Astyanax mexicanus: one gene and its partner. The protein of the gene in region 2 interacts with the protein of the main gene of each other region in a biochemical or structural test. Links are inferred from orthologs where the notes say so. Each region holds a gene or a part of one and is shown on either strand. Other genes may lie near its edges.

Region 1 (11,903 bases), on a different chromosome or scaffold from region 2:
TGTAGGTTGTAATCAAACCTCAGAGAGGAAAAATGGAAAACCACAAAATGCTTTGCTAATTCATCCAACAACCACAAATGACAACCAATTATGAGAAAAGTAGGTATAGGCAAAGCTCTGTACCATTTAAACAAATCTGAACTTCACTGCTTTACTCTAACAAGCTTAATTAGGGTTGCAGACCACCAGACGCCTTTTTTTTGCTTGGGAAACCTTTTGAGCCCTGTATTTCCACAGATAAGAGGAGCCAATAAAAGCTATGTCTGATACAGTATATTAGTCAAGTCCATTTCCCTAACTGAAAACTGCTATGGTCATAAATGAGGCAACTGTGTGTTTGCCATTTCCTGTCCCCTCCCACAACAACTCTGGGTCGTGACATCTAGATGCCTGCACCAGCACAACAAGCTATAGAAGGAGAACTGCACATTATACTGCACATTAGAAGAGGTCCTCAGGGCCAAGCTCTGTGAAGAGGTCCAAAACAGCATAATTAGGAGGTAGCGCTACACTTGAGCGAGTGAACAGCAGTGGAAACCAAAACCTTGGCTAAAGCATTAATTTTGGAAAAAGGAAAACACTGGAGAGGAGCGAGAGAGGATGGGAGAGAATATAAGAGAGAGTAAAGGCACTTTTCCAGAATCAGATTTTTTTAAGTATGGAGAAAAAAGTGCAGCAAGTAAAAAATAAAAAATATATTAAATTATGTTTTTCATACAAAAAACTTCCAATGCTGAGTATTTATTTTTTTATTAGAACCTCTTCATTTTTTTGTGTTGACTAATCTCCATTGTGCCTGGATGCAACATTAATCATCCACATTTAAAGTGCGGTGGAACTCCTTTACTCACTACAACTACAATGATGAGCTCAGTAGAAACATAAACTATAAGGGCTGTTTATCTAGTGATACAAAAAACCTGCTGTACTTCTGGTCATAATTAAGTTCAGTCTTCAACGCATAATTAAGTTCAGTCTTCAACGCAATTTTGTGTGGTTAATAACTTTATCTCTGATGTGCTGGTGTGCCAGTAGCTACTCAATGCACATGTACTCTTGAGAGGGGTATCTTGTTAGCCTTACTCTCTTTACTTCACAAAATGTGAGTGTGCGAGTTTTAGTCTGGGTCAAAAATGGCAAAAAATAAAAAATATAAATAAATAAAAACACACTAGACCGAACAAGAAAGGACAGGTTGAGCTTGCATCTGCAGTAAGAAGTAAAAACACTGGCTTTCAATCAGTGTCTGCAGCCAGCTTCAATGTAACATCTAGAGATTAAACAATAAACAACTGAAACATCATGTGACTGAGAAGCCCCCTATAAACATTGATGTTGATCGATCCTTTAATTTCTACTGCAGAAAAAAAAAAAGAGTACGGAATGTAGAAAATAAACAAAGAAACTGAAAGAGTGTAAATGAACGAGTGCCCAAATACACAACTTTTAATGTCTTTTTAAATTTTGTTCTTATTTACTCCCTAGGACAGGGATTTTTATATTTATTGCCTCAGGGTTAGATTAGATTACGCAGCAAGATTACACAGGAATCGTGCTAAAGCAGTGATTCTCAAAGTTTTCAGCAGCCCCCCCAAGCACCCAAAAAGTTGGCTGCTTTTTTCTGCTCAACAAATATATCATGCAGTAGAGGGTTTTGGCTTTAAGGGCACAAGAAAGAGAAAATGACAGAATGGACTGGTAAGGCTCAAGTCAGCATGCTCTGGTTAGTGAGCTCATAGTATGGAAACTATTTGTCCCTGCCATTCCTGCACAGTCCAGCTACTCCTCCCCCTCCCTGCTCTGACGCTGCTCTGAGTATAGTGCGCAAGAGAGGCTACACATAATGCGACACATCCCTTATGTTAGTCACACTGTAAAACACATACGGACAGATTCCTGTGAACACAGTAAGTCTGGTCTGGATCAAAGAGGTCTCTCCATTTCAGAAGCTTTCTCAGCACACAGACAGTAGCAGCCTGGCTGCTTAGCTTCATAGTGACTTGCACAGTTTGAAATGTGCAGGAAATGCCAAGATAAAAATCTACATCGGACGTGACGATTCTCTAACCCCCTCACGTGTCTGTGCCCCTACCCTGAGGAGTAGTAGTTTCTCAGGCGCTGCTTGCTGTGAGCGTGCCATTGCCTGTGATCCGCTGATCAGACAGCGTATGCGCTCCGGCATGTTAACACTCCCCACTGGGAGTGTTAACCACACACTGCTTTCCTGCAGTAAAGAGCTTAATTAAAAGCAGAGGGATGGGTTTAGATCAGAATGACAAAAAAAAAGTGGTTGTGATTGGGCTCATTAGACTCATCAAGCTTAAACATCACGCTCACAAATCTCTGACAAAACGATGATCAAATATGAACTGAACTTTGAACTGAATAGATGAGCGTGACTAAAATGATTAATCCACCTGTTTGAAAGCAACCACAGTCATTCTGCCGCACCAGCTGTCTGGAAAACATTACCAGAATGCAGAAAAGACTGAAAGCCAAGGCTGCTATGAGCAAGAGTTTGGCAGGGGGGAGGTATTCCAAGACACACAAGAGTCGTGGATCAACGCTGCGTATTCTCTGTACCATATAGGGATATGATTTCAATTCTCTTCTCCAGCACGTGCAGAGCCTTTTCTATTAGGTCACCTTCTGAAAGTGGCCTTTGTTGCCCCTTAAGAAGCCAATAATGCTCTCATAATGTCAATAACATCACTATTGGGAATTTCACTGTGTCTGAAGAATCCAGGCAGGTTCTTAAACTTGCGGACAGTAAATTTCATCGGAAATGTGTGTGAATGTGAGGCAGTGAGAAAAAGTAAAGAGTATATTTATAGTATATATTTATATTTTAAGAATGTTTATGGACATCATGAGGCATCATATACAACCATTCAACCCTATTCCTTATCACAAGGTGGGGTTATGTGGTACACACTTTCTACACACTCTACCTTCAGACCTCCTTACAAAGCCACTCCCCAAACCGCAGGAACATGCAGAGCTCATGAGCGCATACGAGAGATGTACAGGACATTTAGGGAAAAAAATTTAAAAGAACCCAGCAGCTTAAAATCCTCTCAAAACATGAACCACATTTTATAGCAGATCTTCTTGATACCAAATTTTGTAGGAAACTAAAGAACAAAATATTTACATATATGTAGACCTAACCCACACTGGAAACAGGAGACATCACACCTGACATCATTCCAAACTGAGGCTATTATGTCTTAATCTGTTGAGTTAAACAACACTGCTCAACCTCAATCCCTCACAATCAGATAAAACAACACTGAAAAAAGCCTGACATGAACAGACCAAGTCAAAAAAAAAGGGAGCAGCCTTCCGGAAAGATTAAAACCTGAGATAACAGTAAGAGTCAGAGGTACGCTGAAGAACTAAGGAAGGTTTCAGTTCAAAGAGGAAATACTGTCAAGATTAGTGTTGTGATTATGCAGGCTCTTAAGAACCCATTCATTACCTCAAAAATAAGCGATGACTGTATTTTGTCATAATTGTGACTCTTCACTTCAATTCCTGATAGCTGGTCAGCAGCGTTTAAGCTATAATTCATTTTTGCAGATATTTAGTGCATTCAGGAGTCAACTCACCCCTGGTTTAGGTCATTCTCAGTGTTGTCCAGCCAGAGGCGGACTGCTACGGCATTGCCCTCTCTGCACTGGGTGAAGATATCATCCATTGCAGCTCCCCCTCACTCTTCGTACTGGTAGAATCCTTCTTCCCCTACCAGGAGCGCCCTGGGAGAGGGGTGTGATGCAGTGGTACCTAGATGCCACAAGTGAAGGGCAGTGGACCATTCAGTTACGGTGCAGGCCGTCTGGAAAGGGGGAAAAGAGACTGTTAGCATAGGATACAATGGGAATATATGGCATACACTATGACTATATAATTGACATCTTAAGCACAGCCAAACATTTTTTTTTCTAATCTGTTTAGTAGAAAAGGTTGAATGACCCAGAAGTTACTGCCCCTCAGGGCTTTTAGGGTCAAGAGAACTTTAAAAATAGCTTGCTGTCCATCCAACAACTTTTAAAGTAGGAAAGCTTGGAAATCTGTTAAACACAAACATCTGACTGTATGGTCCACGGTACAGTTTTTTTTTTTCCTATAATAAACCTCAGCTCCCAGCCAATATCACTAGCCTTTCCCAAACACACATACTCATCCCTTAAGGAGTCAAAATTAGTTTCTTAATTTGAAAACTTATATTGCAAATCTCTCACACAGACTAGGGCTGTGTATTGGTAAGCACCTGATAATATGATACTGATTGTGATACAGGGGATACGATACTACATATACTGCAAAATACTGCCATACAAATGTTTAAATCAAAATTGGAAAGGAAATAAAAAACATAAAATCATATTTACTGATACTAAATACAAGAAAAGTTTACTTTTTATCAAATAAGAACACTGGGATGTATTATTGGGATGTTAATCCAATTCATTTGATTAATTAAATTACTTTTTTATAATATCACCCAGTTCTAGTGGGATCTAATGAGTGCAGCTGCTATATAGTGTTTTTTTTTTTTGTTGTTGTTGAAAACAAAATATCATGATACAATGCATTATCAATATTTTCTTACATCCCTAACACACACACACTCTCGAGTGTGTAAAGAAGACCTGCTATTCCTTAAGGAGTGCATGACTTTTCCTTGCTTTGGGACGCTCACATTCCAACACACACACATACACACATACATACACACATACATACACACACACACACACACACACACACACACACACACACACACACACACACTCTCTCTCTCTCTCTCTCTCTCTCTCTCTCGGCATCACCCCTGCTCTCTAACCTATGTGCCAATGACCGTGTAAAGAAGACCTGCCATTCCTTATTTTAAGGAATCCAAAACTTGCTTTGGGAAGCTCACATTCCAACACACACACACACACACACACACACACACACACACACACGTCTTGGCATTACTCCTGCTGTTCTACCTGTGTGCCAAGGACTGTGTAAAGACCTGCCAGTGCTCATAAACATACATTTAGCCATTTAACTCTATATGACACCAACTAACTGCAACTAACTGCACCAACTAATTAAGTTACAGACTACAGTCCAGCAGAAAACAGCTAGAAAACATTACATTCGAGTAATAAGAGACTAATAATACTTCAGAAACATGTTTTAAAGGGTGTGGACCTGAAAGTAAACAGTTTAAGCACTTTTCTGATTTAATCACACAATAAAACACTGCCTAGACATTCAGTCAGTTAGGATAACCTAGCTAACTAACAGCTATGTGTTCACTCAGGACTGGTGACGTTTTCAAAGCCAGAAAGCAGCTAGTAGTTAAAAAGAGGAGAAAACAGCAGACACAAGCCCTTTTATGGTATTTAACAAGCAAATAGTACAACCTAAATGTAATAAAATTACACTTCTTTCAATTAAAGTGTATCTTTTAATGAAAATAGCACGTTTTCCCTCACTTTACCTACTTTAGAAGAATAAACTGAGACAGCATTAGCGTTTTCACTCAGCTAGCAGACAGTTAGCTAAGCTAGTTAGCCTCTATACGCTAAGCTAGCTGGGTTAGGGTGTTAGCTAGCGAGCTAGCACCGTAAACAGGCAACTGCGGGCGGAGAGCTCACCACACCACCGTGAAACCGCCGTAAACGCTCGTATAAAATAAAATAAAAACACGGGTTTTACCTGGTAAAACTGTAATTTAGTCCGGGACGAAGCTCCAGGGATGGTAAGGGCAGTCTGACGGACACTAATGTCCACACCCTAGTCGGAGGTTGTAGGTCCTCCTCTCTCTGTGGAGGGAAGAGCTCCCTGCAGAAATCACGGTTTCATCGCCCTCTGTTGGAAACCAGCTCACAACCTGCCCTCCAGTCATATATTTTACACAGTGCCCTGGAGAAATGATTTTTTACAGTAAAGGAAATCATTATTTGATCCCTTGCTTCATTTAGTAAGTTTGCCCACTGAGAAAGAGATGAACAGTCTATATAGGGGACATTCCAGGATTTTGGTACATTTCCTGTCCCACCACTTAAATTTAAATTTACATTTCCAAAATATCTAAATGACTATTTTGTGACAAATGTACTTGTTATAAGACAAACTGTAAAATATGGTGGAAAAATAAGCTCCTTAGATATTATTCAAAAGACCGAATACCTTTGGACCACCTCAAAAAAAATGGCCGTTATCTCTTGTCCCACAGATTGGGTGACCAACTCCTTTGGCAAATTTAACAATTAAAATAAGCTCTAAATAAATGACTTCCTCTTGTATATTGTTGATATGCATCTCCTTTACTTATGAAAACAACTTCTTTGGTATAGTTTTTATGCTATTAAGTTGTGTCCCACAACATGCGCTCAACCCTGTTACCATAAGGAATTTTACCTGGCAGAGAAAGAGTTAAAAATATTTGTCTACTGGCACAAAGGAAGTGACATCACAAGGACAGTTGTGTGTGTCACCCAGTGAACGCAACCCTGTTACTCATATTGTAAGACTAATAGTGAGTAGAGTCAAAATTTACTTTATATACTTATATAACCATGTTTGTCCTTGATCTTCTATACATAGAAGATGTATGCTCCTCAGACAGACTCCGAAAGTCTTTTGTCCCTCAGGCCATAAGACTCCTCCCAGCACAGCAAACTAAAGACTCTGTGACACTTTTTCACCCTGGCAACTCATGGACACACCCTCAGCTATGGAGACACTCTCAGATTTGCTGATGCCTATAACACTATTTTTATAGTTCTACCCTATTTTGCACTAGTAGTTCATTCACTAGTTTATCCATCTACTGTCATCTACTATCTCTTTTGCACTGCTGAATTTAAATCATTATATAACTGTTTATTTGCACTTTCTGTATGGCTGACATCAGTTATCCTCACTTTATGCACATCAACTGGTGTTCACTGTCTATTGTTCAACTGCACTACCTCCATTCTACATTACAGACACACTAAAGACTGCATTTTTACATTGTACATTCTATTTTTTTATTTGACTGTATTTATATGTATCTTTATCTTTTATATATTTTATTTTGTAACTTTGTGTATTCAATTTGTAACTTTGTGTCTGCTGCTGGATGTCTAGAATTTCCCCTCGGGGATCAATAAAGTATCTATCTATCTATCTATCTATCTATCTATCTATCTATCTATCTATCTATCTATCTATCTATCTATCTATCTATCTATCTATCTATCTATCTATCTATCTATCTATCTATCTATCTATCTATCTATCTATCTATCTATCTATCTATCTATCTATCTATCGCTATATTTTACAGTTAGCATCTGTTCCTGGGGTAAACCACAACTTAGCCTAGCTTTGCAACCCTGTTACTCTAAGTTACCAAATATATTGCATAATCTAATTAAAAAAAACTGCTTTGATACCTGAGCTTGACAAATCAAACTTTTTGATAGCCTATTACCTGTATTTAATAAATATATGACTAAAAATGATCAAATTGAAGATCAAATTTTCACAAGTGACCACCTGACCACCCTGAAATGTACCAAAATCCTGGAACGTCCCATATCTTATTTAAGGGTAGGTAAGTTTTATCAGTAAGAGATGGAATATCAAAAATAAAATCTAGAAAATCACAAAGGATATAAATTATATACATTTATATAACTTCCGTTTATTTATACATCGTTAAAATGTGGTTGACATATGGTTGAAGTAATATCGTTAAAACAACATTTAATGTTAAATGGTTCGATCGTTTTCTACTTGTAGCAATAAAAGCTTTTTTGTTTGTAGTTGTACAGTTCCTACTTTTCAGAGATGTATATTCAGTATATAGAGAGACTAAAAATAAAATTGTTAATTTTTCTTCATGGCATACAGATTTTTTCTTCTTTCATACAATTTTAAGCGCCCCAAATGTGAGCTATGGTTAATTAAAGGTTGAACGTACGACATTGAAACAATGTTGGCATATTAAGAGGTGAGATTTTACATGGAGCCCCAGATCGATGTCGATTGACATCTACATTTGACTTAATATTTTATTGGGTCAATGCATTTTGTAATTATCAGTGCAAGCTTGTGAATATAGTCCGAACATTCTGACTTGAGAAAAGGTATTATAGTATTGTGTGGCCTCTGTAGGAAACTTTTTCTTGATCTCATTAGAGCATTTGAAATACTGATTAATGGCAGGCTGTAAAGAGTTTAAAAAAATGTTTAACATTTAATAAAATCTTGGTTGACCTAGAGTTTCAGACATGAATGGTTGCATTTCTACTATGAAGGAGGATTTCTACTTCATGTCCTTCTGCAACATTTCTGCTAGATTAAGGTCAGGTCTATTCCAATAGCTTTCTGGCTTGTTAATGTGAGCTTTAGCAAACTCCACACAGGCAGCAACATTCTTTTTGGATTCATGATCATTAACATTAGTCAACGTGAGAAAGGCCTTTAGTTGCTTAGAAGTTACCCAGCGTTCATTTGTGACCACACAGACTGTTACACTCCTTGTTTTTGGTGCGTTATTTGCTGGTTGATCACTCCTGGGGACGGAAATAACAATTGTCTTAAATATCTCCCATTTGTACACATTCTGTCTGCCTGTGGATTGGTGGAGCCTAAACTATTAGGAACACCAACTAATCTTTGACTCAATTGTTCTCGTTACCCATTTGGTTCTTGTTATTCTTTTTTTTTTATTTCAGGTTACATTTATGCAGATATTTAGAAAAAATGTTTCAAGCACTATTGTAACTGAATGGTACCTTACATTTCTATGCAAGTTGTTTTTATCCAGCAGTCATGACAATGACTAGCAGTGTTTTTTTTTCATAACCCTTGCTGTGCAACAGCCATTCTATTATTCCACATTCTGTTTATTATATTAGTTAACAAAATGATATAAAATTATATTTATAATTTATATTTATAATGATATAAAATCATGTTCCAAAATACCTTTACCAAGAAACAAAGAAAAGGTTACAACAAAAATTGTAAAAAAAAAAAAAAAGCACACAATGTAGTAACAGACATTTTAATAATTTATTCATTTTTCTTGAATGCATTTGAAAAATGCATGTTTTTACAGTCTTTACTTTGTATTGGCAACACAGTAAAAGGCTGCATCTTCTATTTTATCATACCGAAGATGAAGCTATTTTTTAAGCTAATTTTGCTAAATTACAGGAACACTGAAAGTTCAAACCGAAAGCAAAATTAATGGCAGTCAGAGTCATACAAGTGGCTGCCTGAACTGCTTCTACACTTTTAAAAACAGGTGTTTCTATACATTTTTGAGTCATTCCAGAGAAGAACCATGATTGTAACAGATGTGAGTGGGAAAGTTCTTTAGACTTTAATTATTTATATTATTAGGACTGCCCAAAGTTACTTTGGGACCAATAAAGTATCCAACCATCTCTATATTTTACACACAGTCTGCCACATCTCTCTAACCTAATGTTGAGAAATCTGGTACTTCTATATGTGTAGCTCAATAAATATGACCAAGAGTTTGCATCAATCTACATTAATAATTTATTGTTCCTAATAACCTGTATTTCTTTTAAATAGCATTGTAATCGGACACTTTCTTTAGGTACAATTGTTTTTATTAAGATGAGTATAATTTGCTTAGAAGTACATGATAAGATCTGTATTTTCTTTTCAAATTCTTCAATGTTTTAAAACAAAACACATCTCTAAACAATGAATCTATAGTCATGATGAACCTGTACCTGTGGATGTGCTGCTGCTGTCTAGTGTGATCTGCTTTAGAGCCAACTTGTCTATCTGGATGCCTGGCGCTATATTTGAATTTATAGAAGAACTAGTTCCCTCTGAAGATCCCAGAGTTGTTGGTTCTGTAACAAGCGATGGAACCAATGACACATTTTCAGTTTGCAGTCCTAAAGAGGGAATGGTAGTGGCTGTGCCACCGGTAGCTGGTGCTGGGACTGATGACAGATCACTTAGCATTGGCTCAGCAGCTAATGGTGGAAATGATACTGATGCAGCAGGCGTTTCTGCCGTCATCACATGTTCAGCAGAGAGCGCGGCTGAAGCTGGACCCGTTGTCGCTAAACCTCCAGCCAGCGGCTCCGCTGGTGTTCTAGCTGCCTCCTCCATTTTAGCTGCTTCTGCAGCCTTGCTCTCCATCTCCTCCATCCGTCGCTGCACCATCGCCGGCATCAGCTTCACGTAGGTGCCCATGAGGCGATGATTGGAGCGGATTAATTTGCTAGCACAGTTGTCTACACAGCGCTCCTGAAAATCAGAACAACTTGTAAGTGACTGTTCATATTTTCAGGTTCACAATTTAAAGGAAATGTAAATCAGACTGAATTTACAATAATGGCAACAGAAATAAAATAATAGATTTAAATTAGATGGTTATAAATTCATATCAACTACTTATGAAATATGAAACTACGTTTTGGACGTAATTAAAAATGTTGTGATTTATACAGTAGAAATCTGAACCTCAATTTCACATTAAGAAATGTTGTTTTTTTTTTTTTTGTTACTGTGAATAGATGACTAGTATAAACTAAACCAATCTCCCAAAAGGTAAGCCTGTCAATTTAATTTTATCAAAAATAAATCAATGTTAGCGGCTCGCCCAGTTGAATCGCAGAGCAACGCATCAACAAAAGGAATCACCTCAATCACTGTCTGCTGGCTGCTTTGGGGTGTGTCTCTTAAAAACAAATATTGGATGGTACCAAGGTCATTTTTTAAGCTTGTGTCCTTGTAATGTATGATAGTCAATATCCTAGTTATTGTGACAGACCATTAACTTCATGCAGTCTGAAAATCAGCTTATATTTTACTCTAGGGTTTGGCGATATTGTATTGTATTGTAATTGTAAAGTATTTAGATTTTTTTTCTATTTTAACTATATGTGTGAATCTCGATTACAATTTAGTTTGAATTTTTACAGCAGCATTTAAGGTGATGTGAAAGCTACTGTTTCCTTTACATTGTTTTTATATATTTTTTTCTAACAAATTGTAGCTATATATATATATATATATATATATATATATATATATATATATATATATATATATATATATATATACAGTAATTCAGTTAATCAGATGAATTCAATTAACCCCCACAGGTCTGTTTTACTGCCTTAGGTTTTTACAACAACAGATATTTTGACAAGTGTCTGGGATGAGTTGAGTGTAGGGTTGCCATTCATCCCATAATATACAAAATTGTTCTTTATTTGGCAATCAAATGCCTGCGATTTGTTCTATATTCCCATAAATGTTCAATACACGTGTCTGTCTTACACATACATCAACACTAAATGTAATAATGATACATAATTATCACTTTTGTTATATATGTGATTTTAGTGCATGAGACATGGCTCGTTTTTGTAGACTATTGTGGTTTCTTTAGGATGTTAAATTAAACAAATGATAATTTATGTAATATACAGTAGTATTAGCCAATATAAATATTATATATGGACATTTAAAGAACAAATAATACTAATGGATTACCAATTAATAAATAAATATATTTGATTAGAGAAAAAATATCAATATAAATACACATTTAAAATATAAAAAATATATTTATAATATAAGCTAACCTACATCCGTTACACTAGCTAGACGGATCTCATAAACTGACCAGTGAGTGCAAGAGTAAGTCAGGTGTTTCTAATAAAGCTAATCACAATGTGAGCATGTATCCATAGCTCATTAAAGTTGGGTGTAGTTCATCATCATAATCATCATGATCCTCTAATCACAACATATTGAGCTCAGAAGTAAATTAACAGACAATAAGCTTGTTAAACTACGTGTCCGGTCTCGTTTACTCACTTCATCCATGGTAAGGTTTCTGTAGT
Region 2 (11,903 bases):
GTGATATGGAAAAAATATTATATCATGGTATATAAAGACACTATCACAGTAGATGTTATAGTAGACTATACACAGCATACAGACAGCATACACACTGCTGCAACATTACTGTTTCACACTGTTTTGCATGAAACAATCTCAATAAAACATTTTGTTGTTGTTTTAACAAGGAATTGAAGAAGTTTGATAAGAATGAAGAAAATAAGTATAACAAATAAGAAATAAGTCAGAACAAGAAGAGAGAAAAGAGGAAGGTGGATTCAGTTAGCTTAATTTAACTTATATAGGTTTTACAGTTCAAAAAAGAATATCCACAGTCTAACACAATGCTTAACACAAGCATGTTTGCTTCATGACTTAAAATTGAAACAGAAAAGGCAGTCAGTATTTTGTTAAAGTTACCTAGACTAATGTTGCCATCCTAGCCCAGTTTCTGAGGAAGTAGTAAACTGAGTACAGTAATACTGTAATGCTTAACACTGAGTATATACTCACTGAACTAAAAAATGAACTAAAACCTGGTGTTTCCTCACTCCCCCTACTATAATTTTATATAGACCTCTCTCTGAAATGTAATAAGTATTGCGACATGCTACAATACTGTCATACTGCCCACCTCTTGGCCACAGTCAAAATTCTGCACACCAAAAACCAAAGGCTACATACTGTGGCAGAATGGTTAAATTACAGGATAGCAATGTTTAAAATACACGTAGTACTGCATGTGATTGATATTTCTGATCGTTAACCACTCTCTCCTGACAAGGTCTGGCGGAAATGACCAGCATGATCAATAAAGCACTTTCCTGACGTTCACATTTTAATCCATTAAGATTTTTAGAGGCACTGCTGAGAGAAAAAGCCTGGGCTGCAGAAAAGGGCACACAAAAGATGGTATAGAAGTGGTTTGCATATGAAAACAAAAAAGTCTGGAAGTCAATCAAATGTTTTAGAAATATATCCCAAATAATGTTTGCATTAAAAAAGAAGAAAAATAAATAATTTCTCAGTAATGATACAAAATTAATGTAAATTCTGCTATTAGTTGACTTTTTTGTACAGTGTTTCCAAATGGAAACTTATAGCACAGCAGAGGGCTGAACGGTTTTGAGCACAGCAGGTAACCGTTTCAGTGGGTTTTCAACACAAACACTGTTGGGCACGAAATGCTTAGAAACCGTGCTGAGCCGGGTTTCCCCACACAGTTAAACTAAAAACTAAACGTTATCGGGGCCACAAAACAAATACATTAGTTGCCTTCTCAAAAAAAGTTGTTTGACTGATTTGACTGTTTGTTGCATTTATTGACATTGTATAATTATAAATAATATAAATAAAGAAGCGTCTGTACTGGTAAACATGCTACATTGTATTTTATTAAAGTAGCAACTAGGATGGCGTTTCTACACGAAACTGAAAGGTGTCGTCGTAAACATATTTCCCTTTAGTAATTATCTATAGATCTAACCTCCCAGGACTACACAGGACATATTTAGAGTTCAAAAAGTTCACATAAGTTCTGCTGCACCATGTTGACAGTGTGACACACTGGGGCCTACTGTGGCCTAGGAAAGTCCTTCAGAGCTTGAAGCACGAGCTGAGCCTGTCAGTGGAAAAAGGATGTATGGGGACAGACAGAGGACACGTGTGCCGCAGGTATGTGCTGCTAAGCTTGCATCATCAAAAGCTGCCAGGACAGAATATCCCTTTAAAAGCAATCTTACAAGGGCGCGAAAAGACCCATAACAAAGAGATTAAAATTGAAAGAGTGAGAGAGACAGAGAGAGAAAGAGCGAGTCATCTGACAAGCATCATCTGACGACTGTTGACCAATCACAGAGTCCAGAGCAACACGTGACAGCAATGACTTGAGAACAATTTAGAGGTGCCTGTTCTCATATGTGCAATGTCACAGAGGGGGAAGGGAGAGATTAAAACAAGGTCAGAAGCTGAAAGCTTGGGGAGCAGACAAAGGACTTTCCACCACAAACTAGCTTACTAAATCATCAGAGAGAGCCTTATTGGGTCAACGAACCCTCTTGTACGTAACCATTACTTGCGTTCTTGCTCTGAAACTGCTCATTTCCTCACAGGCAGTGCGTGACCTCTATAATGGGCAAACTGCGGAAGAAACTTTCTATTTTAATTAGTTAACTTTCACCCCACCACTTATCACAACATGTAATCATAGCAAGACCGATGAATTCTCTGATCACTGGAGTAGAACTATCTGCACAAGATTTCACTCAGAAATGCCCTTTCCACATTTCTTAACAACCACCAGTGAAGATATGACATGGCTAAGAACTGCATCTTATCATGGTTTGGAATCGAAAGAGTCACGTCAATAGTACAATGTCCCACTCCTTTTTTTTTTTTACTTTGACTTTGTGGGAAAATTGTGGGAATGGAATTAAAGCTGGTTTTACTCTGAGCTGCTTCTGCTGCTGAATCAAGAGCAGTGGAGCATGGAGCGTAACTCACAGTATACAGTCAAGGACTTACACAACAGCCTTCGCTCAAGGGTTAATAATTGTTAGTCCAAAATAACGTCCCTCATGCAAACTCTTACTGGGGTTGGTTCACAAGTTCAAGGAAATGACCTGTGGCTGACAGGGGCACGTACAGAAGCTATCATAAAGACTATAATACAAGCTGAACTATGGACTAGTTTAACTGTATGCTAAGTTGTTCTCTGGCAAACTAAAGACAAAGTTAAGCTCAATATCAAGGTCAAAGTGTGTTTCACTAAACAATATGGAAGACAAAGTCCACAAATGAAACACTGAACCAAAACTGACGTGTCTGTAAATATGTAACTATACCTTTTCTGTTGTGGTCGTACAATTGTTAATGTTCGTGAATTCAAATTTCCATACACCTTTTTGAAATGTGTGAATATTTGCCCAGTTGCAGTAATCAATTTCGATTTTGTCTTAAAGGTTAACATTCATTAAGTAACCTACATCTGTATGTAATATGAACAAAAAAATCTGTTCCTGAAACTACATGCACACATTGACATGTTTAAGCGCACAGCCTAAGTTGTTTTGCTGCATCGCCAGTGTTTTGCCGAATTCTGACTTTGCACCATAATCTGTCTCACCTCAAGCGATGTGCTGTTGTTTGTTTAAAAACAGTTATTTGTGACCAGAAACATCAGGAGTATAAACAGCTGTTTGACACACATGCACAAAAAGGGTAGACAAATTCAGATAGGGAGACAGATTTAAGCACAACACATCAAATTTATGAAGGCTAATCTGACTCTTCACATTTATGTTTCATACCCATCGATACATATTCAAACTACTACCGAAAATGAAACTAAAACACAAAGAACATGGCACCTCAAAAAGGCTCAGTTTTAATCACTGAGGAAACAAAGTAAGGCAACGTTTAAAACCTGCAGCAGCTTAATGTACTGGACTATAATCCCAGCATTCAAAGTATTCTACACACCAAAAGGGAATTGTGACATTAAAATAACACCACATAAGATACCTTGCCAAGATCCAGAAGATTATCTGAACTGTGAACTAACAGCTATCATATGATCAGAGTCCCATGTACACTGCATGCTGATTAACTAACTGTGATGTAAGACATAAAGCACTTTGAGCTTCAGCACTAACGAGCTACAGGGGCCAAGGAGATGGAAGAGGCAGCAACACTTACCAAGTTTCTCAACAAGCTTCAGCATTACTCCGCCAATATGAATTTCTCCAGTGACTCTCAAAGACACATCCTTATTGAGGTCAGTCACATGCATCTTCAGTTCCCAAGTCCCATCGGCATAGCAGCCATCGGGCATCCGTATACCGTCCAGCGCCATCCTGTAAAACATCAGTGCAATCAGTGTTTCATCTACAAACTATGCCCTCATTCTTTCATTTCTTTCAGTCCCATCAGGCATAAGAACAAAATTATTTATACGTAAGATGGCGACTTTACACAAGAAAAAAACCTTTATATTAAAGTCAGTGAAAATAATGATATTTCTGAGATTCTGACAAAATGTAAAGATCTACTTGTGGAAAAAAGTACAAAAGAAAAGCTCACCATCCATTTGTTGTTGTGTTGGTCATAATGATTAAACTGCTTTTCTCACACCACTTAATTTTAAAACGTTTGGCCAATTTAGCTTTAATAAGCAGATAACCATTTAAGCACAATACATTTGATGTAAACTACAGTTTTATATGACAATATGACAGTTTTATATGAGTAGGGCTGGGCAGTATGACCAAGATAAACTACCTACTTTTCTGTATTCAACTTTTATTTTTAGAACAGGTATGGGTAGGCCCGAATTTACAATACAATATGATACTATTGTCATGTTAAGACCATTTAAATGCCACTGATATAATGATACTAAAATAGCATAACAAAGCAGCCAAGACCTCTTAAAGAAATTTTTTTTAAACATATTTCGGGAAAACAGTATTTCCAGTATATCAGTTGTCCTAAATGCATACAACAATAATATTGTTTAGCACATATTTCTGGTACAATAGGCTATATCAAGCAAAAATAGTTATCTGACAGGTCTATATCACGCAATCATACAATTATCTCCAAAACAGAAACAAAAAAAACCTTCTTAACTGTCAATGGAAGTCAATGTAAAACGAGTTTATTTCAGGTAAGTTAACTTTGGAGAATTTATATTGTACCATTCACAATTTACAACACAAATTTAACAATATAGTAAGAATATAAACAGCCAAATATACTTCTGGGTGTGCCATACCGTATTGTATGCAATAACATCGCAAACATTTTTGAATATCGTGAACGATATTATATCCTGAAATATCGTGCCATTTCACCCACCCCTAGTTATAGTAGGATACTACTATTTTGCTGTTTTTAAGCATTTATTTAAAATAATAAATCACACTGTTCTCATTTTCCATTATAACGCTAACGTTATATCTACAGTAGATAGATTAACGTTATATCTGTATCACCTATAACTATAGTTACACATTTTTATTTATGACCAAATTGTAAGCCTAGATGTTTTGGTATGGTATGGGATTGTGTAATAAACAAAATACCATAAAAGACAATAACCAAAGATAGTTTTGAATCATGCCATAGATGAATTTGGTACAGCCTTTTATTTTGTAGTTTTTAAAACTAGGTTCATATCATCCACAGTTCTAGTTCAACACTCCTGTAACTGTTACCAGCTAGAGTTAACTTAATGCTGTAACTTAAGAGTCTCGCTGCCTTGGCTTTTGTTTGAATACGAGGAACCCACCAGTAAATCTAGGCAGCTAGTCTGACCGTACAGCTGGTGTAAACGGGGTATGGAGGCTCGGGTTAAATAAAGAAAAGTGTTAAATGTGAGGCGGGCCTGTTCACCTGCGAGGCCTGCAGATCTGTAGAACTAACGGTAAAGCTGGACTGGCGGAGTCGGAGGATTGCGTAAGTAGCTCCACACTCACTCCCTCAGTCCCTCAACTCCTCATAAAACTCCTCAGACTAACGGACACCGCGGGTTTGACTATATTCCCGCGACAGAAACCACACTAAAAGTGCTTTTAAAGTTATATTTTACTCAATAAAACCGCAAACACCGAGAAATTAGTCTAAAATACACTCGCGCGGACGGGTTATAGCGACCCGCGTTTTCAAATTAACGAAAGATTTAACGTAAAAATAACGTTCACTCGCTCACTCACCTTCACCAGCACACGCTAAACCAAATCCACAAGTGCCACTTCAGCTCCAAACGCTGCGAAAACTCAACACCTCTTCGTTTCTTTCCTTTATTTCTTCCTTTTGTTTGAGCTGAAACGTGTTTTAACTCATTGAGGAGATTTCCAAAAGGACTGGTCCAAATAAAGTCCCTCAAAACTAGCTGGACCTCCTCAGGGCTTTAGCTAGCTAGCTAATGGTGTCCAGTGGCCGTCTCCCTCTCTCTCTCACTCACTCACTCTCTCACCCGGGCGCTCTCTCTCTCCTCTCTCTCTCTTCCCTCCCTCACTCCCTCTCTCCACCAGATAACGTCACTCCGTGCTCCAATCCCACTTTTCCTTTCTATCGCAGCCTCGCGCCGCCCTCCTCGCGCACTACCCCTCGCCCCCTTCCTCACTTCAGCATCTTCCTGTAGTCCAGCAGGGCGGTCTGCTCTGAGGGCAGCACTGATTTATTACACTGATGCTGCCTTCAGGCCCATCTAATGATCTGACTTAATGAAAATAAGTTTGTTTTGCTTTATATACAGCGCTGGACAAAAAAGAGCCCACTTAAAAGTTTCTTTTATATTTTGATATACATGATATTTTGTGTGCTTATTAAATAATATACAGCTCAGGAAAAAAGAGACCATTTTAGTTTCTGAATCAGTTTCTCTTATTTTGTTATTTATAGGCATATAGGTATGTTTGAGTAAAATTAAGTTGTTTTATTCTATAAACTACGGACATTTCTCCCAAATTCCAAATAAAATATTTTCATTTAGAGCATTTATTTGCAGAAAATGAGAAATGGAAATAACAAACAATGCAGAGCTTTCAGACCTCAAATAATGCAAATAAAACAAGTTCATATTCATAAAGATTTAAGAGTTTAGAAATTATTTTTTGGTGGAGTAACCCTCATTTTTAATCACAGTTTTCATGCATATTGGCATATTCCCCTCCACCTGTCTTTCACACTGCTTTTGGATGACTTTATGGCACTCTTGGTGCAAAAATTCAAGCAGTTCATCTTGGTTTGCTGGCTTATGATCATTCATCTTCCTCTTGATTATATTCCAGAGGTTTTTAATAAAATAAAATCAAAGAAACTCATAATTTTAAGTGATCTCTTAATTTTTCAAGAGCTGTATATGTTAAAAGTGAAGTTAAATGTAATTTTGTATAAATGTTTTTTGCAACTTTTTACTGTTTATCTACTAAAAAGTTAGCATCAGAGCTCTGATTTCTTCTATATGTTTTCGTATGTTTCTATGTTTGTAGATGTTCACTGCTTTTGATGTGTTTTCTGATATGTTGGACTTGGTAAAACATAGGCTGTGACGTTTGAAGCTTTTGACCTGGTTTAGCTTTACATAGTAATAATAATGTACATTATTCATCTTATAAGAGTCCCATAGAAATACAGAAATACAATTTTTTGTTGTTTTAAGCCTGTCTAGAAGGTAAATGTCCTGTTCTTATATATCATGGTAGAAATAGGATTTAAAATGTGACCCCACATTTGCCAATATTATACTGGTAAACTATATGGGTTTGTTTTTGTTATACTACACAGTTATCGAATTCACCAAATGCTCTAAAACAAGCCCAAGTGAACAGATAATAAAATACTAGAGCCGTCTGAAGGGTCATTTATTGACCAGTATAACTGACTGCCTTTTATGGAAATAATACTAATGTTGCCCTACTACATCCAAGGGGAGTACAACATTGCTCTTTTTGGGGATTTACACACAATTAATCATCTGAAATACAGCCCAGTGAAAGAGTTACACTGGAATAGCATGACTGGAGTGTATTTAATGGAGCCTTTTAATTCTTATTAGAAACAAAATAGAACCTTTTTATTCATAAAACTGCATTGTATACATCTTGTCACAGTGGTCCAATACATTTACAGAAAAAATATTTAATGTATCAACTTAACAATGTATTATACTAAAACCTTTAAACTATTAAACAATGCAGTTTAAACATTGATGTACACAGCATTGTCTGGGTAACAGATTTTAATTCAGTAATCTAAATGCACTCAAAGCAGACTGTAAATCAGTCAAAACCTCTGCCATCACAATAAACCATTAAATATATTATGAGAAAGTTTCAATAAAATACATCTTTAAAAAAACATAGAATAAAATAGAACTGAACAAAATAGAACAGAATAGAACAGAAGAGTGAAGTGATGGATGGCTGTGCTGCTGTTTGCTCCTCTCTCCTCAGCGCTGGACTACATTAGCAGGCCTTCTCAGATGGGACAGTGCAGCATGAATCATCGGGGCGTTTGGCTGCTCCACTGCACGACCTGCTTCAGCTCAAGAATGCAGGCAGAAGCCTTGGACTGCATCAAAGCGATTTATAACCTCTCTCCCTGCTGCTCTGACCCCCTCCACAGCGTCTGGCAACACAGCCATTGCCTTTTATAGGCCGTGTTTTAATTACGGTGTAAACAGTGAGTGAGAGTGAAATGGGGGCTTGTGGATGGGGAGAGGCCTGCAGGAGAAGGCCAAAGAGTCAGCCTTTGAGTCACACTGGAGTGGAGAAAAGTACCTCATAGAGGAACGCTGAGGTCACACGCAGACAGCCTGTCACTCAACCTAAAATAATGGAGTTTAGCTGGTTTCACTGAAGTCAAAAAAATAAATCACTTTGGTTAATGTAAAATTAAAAACGTCACTCAAAACACAAAATTTTAAACCATTTGAAACTAAAACAAATGTAATTCCAATTCTTTCATATTTAAAACTGGCATGATTAGTATAGGAAATACAGTACTACCTGTTGCACATATTATCCTTCTAATATTACAATTCTTAAATCCTTTATAACAACCAAAAAGACCCATAAAGCTGCCAAGAGAATGTTAACAGTGAGGTATTAGTATTGCATAGTGAATCCATTTACAACTATAACTTCATACAGAAATAAAATGAAGCAGTTCAGATTTGGGCTGGGCTAATGGAAAATTCAGCACTAGTACTTATTAGGAGAGGCACAGAAAAACATGGAGCAGTTTGCCATCTGCTGGCCAGAGCCTTGAGGTGGCCTTCACTCTTCACTGACTAATAAACCCAGGCTCATGTTTACTCTGGACAGAGTCTAGACTGCAGCTCTGCTTACAGTTTCAGTTCTGTGACTCTACGAACATCGACATGATGAGCAACACTAATGTAATTTGCACCCCTACCCCATGAACTTTAGCTCTCGGTCACAGGAACTGTTAAAAGACATTGTGTTAAAGGCCTCTGTTAGCAGCTCTCAGCATGTGGCAGCTGGACATGTCAAACATCCTGTAAAGAGGGGGTTAAACACCCTCCCTATGCTGTCTGAGACTGTAAGATGTTTTCCTTTTTGAAGGATTTTGGACAAGATATACCAAATGCAATAAACATGAATGTAAATGTAATGCACTAAACAATTTTCTAGCTGTACTATAATGCTAGGTCAAGTTCAAATTTAGCAAGATGAGCTATGAAGCTATAAAATATTAGAAATGCAAAGGCAAACAAAAGTGATATAGAAAATACAAACTATTACAATACTTTAGGCTATTTGCCTTAATGATTTTCATATGCTATGTTTTATTGAGGTGTGAAATGCTGGAGCAGAAAAAAGTTGTTGCTTTCTACGTAAAATGTTCTCTTTATAGTGAAATATGCAACTAGTGAGTGTTGTGAAATGTATTGTAACAATTTATAAAATACTGATAAACATTAATTTTCTCACCCCCCTACAGGCTTGTATATAACCATAACACTATGCAAAGGGTACTAAAAGGTTAGGATTTACCTTTATTTCCAATGTGCCCTAAAATCTTTTGGTACAGTTCAATAATTAGATTTTGGAACATGGAAGTAAAATATTGTGAACCACATACACTGTTGTGTCCATTCCCCAAAGGAAGCATAACCAATAACCAAAACAGCTACTGAATAGGGTGGCTTTTAGTCAATTTTCAATTTTTTTTTTTTTTTATACTTGCAGCACACCACCATACGCCAACAGTTTCTACACAAACCCGAACTCCAGGCCACAGCTGTCCTCATGCTAGTGTCTGCCAGTAACTCAAACATGGCAAGTGAGGAAGCTAAAAATCTCAGGCTATGAGCAGGTACACATGCTAGGCTATGTCTATAGCCAGACAGCTTTTTACCATCTCTGCTTTCATTGAAAACAAACTGGACAAACTTACATCAGACTTACCACCACAACCATGCCAAAGTAGGCAACATTTGTTGTAAATGCATTATATGAATACAATTGAATTGAAATAAATTGAACTTGCATTAGAAGGAGAAGCATGCAATTGCTAGACAAGTGCCAGGCTAAAAGCTAATCAAGCTCCAATCTCTTCAAAATCTATTGAACAAAGAGGGCACAGTAAGGTGAAGACGATGCTCAGAGAACAGTAACACTGTCTGGTAGTAGGAATTAGGGATTTGTTTTGTTAGTGTTTAAAAAAAAAAAAAAAAAAAAAAAGGTCCTGTGAGCCGATGTTGCAGAAGTATCATTTTGGTGCTGTTAAAACCACCATACGCCCAACCATATATATATATATATATTTATAACATTTTAAAATACTAAAAACATGTCTTATATGGCACCTTTAGACACACATTAAGCATGACAATAGGATGGTGCTTTGTATCATGCCAACACGTCCATTTATCTCTCCTACTTTTGATAGTGGTGGATGGACTGCAGTCCTGAGATCAGCTTTTTTTAATCAGCTTTGTGAGGTTCTGCCAAAAACCCGTACAGTTGATCATTTGTATTCTTGACACTAATGGCCAGTAGCTTCAGGAAGCTCGATCGATCTATCCATAGTCCAAAGCGCTATAGTATAAGAAACAACAAACAAGGCGCCATGCCTCATATGGCAAATTACAGGCAGTGGTGGGTGTTTAATTCACTGGCTTTTATTATCAAGAAATTAGCACAGGAGGACTGCCTGGGCAGCCTCAGTTTAGACAGTCTTCAAAATATTTTGAAAGAATCTCTCACTGTGGAATTCTGCTCATCCCACACACATTTCAACACCGCTCACATTGTTCAGGCGACGCTACTCTATTTATAATCTCTGCCGATGTGATAAATTGTGGTTCATGTAAAGGACAACAGTGCAGCTGTATGCAGAAAAAGCAGAAGCCTTGATATTCCAAAAAAAGTAATGCTTTAATAAACTGAAATAAATACAGTGTTATTCGGATGGCAGTTTGAATCCATTACAGGCATGGGTTATTGCACAGCTCTCATTTTCAAGCTCAATGCCACAATTACATTTAAATAACAGTCGCTAAGGGACACCTTCTGTGTTTCTGGTTAATCTATAACCAGATGTGGAGGATACCTGCTGGACTCTTTGACTGAATTTTACAGAAAAGTGTGAAGAACACAATGTTATTGACAATACTACACCTAAGAGATAAGCCAATGACAAACAAACATGATCCTTCAACATGCGATGCCCAAGAAGAAGGGTTAAGGGTTTATATATATATATATTATATATATATATATTATATATATATAAAAAAAAAAAAACATTATCATTGGGACAGTATGGGAAAACCTGTTTACATTTACTTTGATTTAATGTTATTGCAGACCGTATAAACCCAAGGTATTTCTTTTTTTGTTCAAATTTGTGTATATATAATGGGATGGAAGCCATTTAGGGTTAGTGTTGAGGTTTGAAAAAAAAAATATATACTAAAACTAACAGATGATGCCACCTAGACTAGAACTGTCATTGAATAACAGCTGATGGCAAACCAAAGTACAAAATAAAATATGGCTCTACATTCACAAATGCATCTTAAAACACCACAGTGCAAAACAGAAGTCTTGTGTTAATCATGACCAAAAGCTGCATTGACTTCTCTGGGCATCTAGGACGGACAGAATTCCGAATCTCTTTTGAAAGAAATGGACATAATGAGCAACGTGGTACTATTGCACACATTAAGACATTTTGCAAGATAAAAGAGACAAAAAGCACCTAAAACACTTCACTGCTTGGTATTCTCAATGCCAAAATGTTGTGAGAAGGAAAGGAAACATTACTAAGTGGTAAATGCTTTACAGTCCAGACAAACATGAAATATCTTGGGTTCACACTCTCTAAAATGAAATAAAAGTCAAAGTAAATGTAAGAAACATACGATCCTAAGCTTTTTTATGATT

What was found.
Region 1: the proteins of fermt2 (region 2) and ilk form a complex in vitro, tested with the Homo sapiens proteins (2 studies listed by BioGRID). The link is inferred for Astyanax mexicanus from reciprocal best matches to the Homo sapiens genes FERMT2 and ILK.

What each region holds. Positions count from the first base shown.
Region 1 is NC_064427.1:35,778,578-35,790,480, forward strand, and holds the start of ilk (integrin-linked protein kinase), read right to left. Parts: upstream 5,847-11,903; 5' UTR 5,719-5,846; intron 3,839-5,718; 5' UTR 3,701-3,838; coding exon 3,612-3,700; intron 1-3,611. Other genes in the region: timm10b (mitochondrial import inner membrane translocase subunit Tim10 B), read right to left, coding at 9,751-10,296, 11,878-11,903. UniProt on the Homo sapiens protein: Scaffold protein which mediates protein-protein interactions during a range of cellular events including focal adhesion assembly, cell adhesion and cell migration.
Region 2 is NC_064421.1:15,589,188-15,601,090, forward strand, and holds the start of fermt2 (fermitin family homolog 2), read right to left. Parts: upstream 5,988-11,903; 5' UTR 5,697-5,987; intron 3,837-5,696; 5' UTR 3,836-3,836; coding exon 3,679-3,835; intron 1-3,678. UniProt on the Homo sapiens protein: Scaffolding protein that enhances integrin activation mediated by TLN1 and/or TLN2, but activates integrins only weakly by itself. Binds to membranes enriched in phosphoinositides.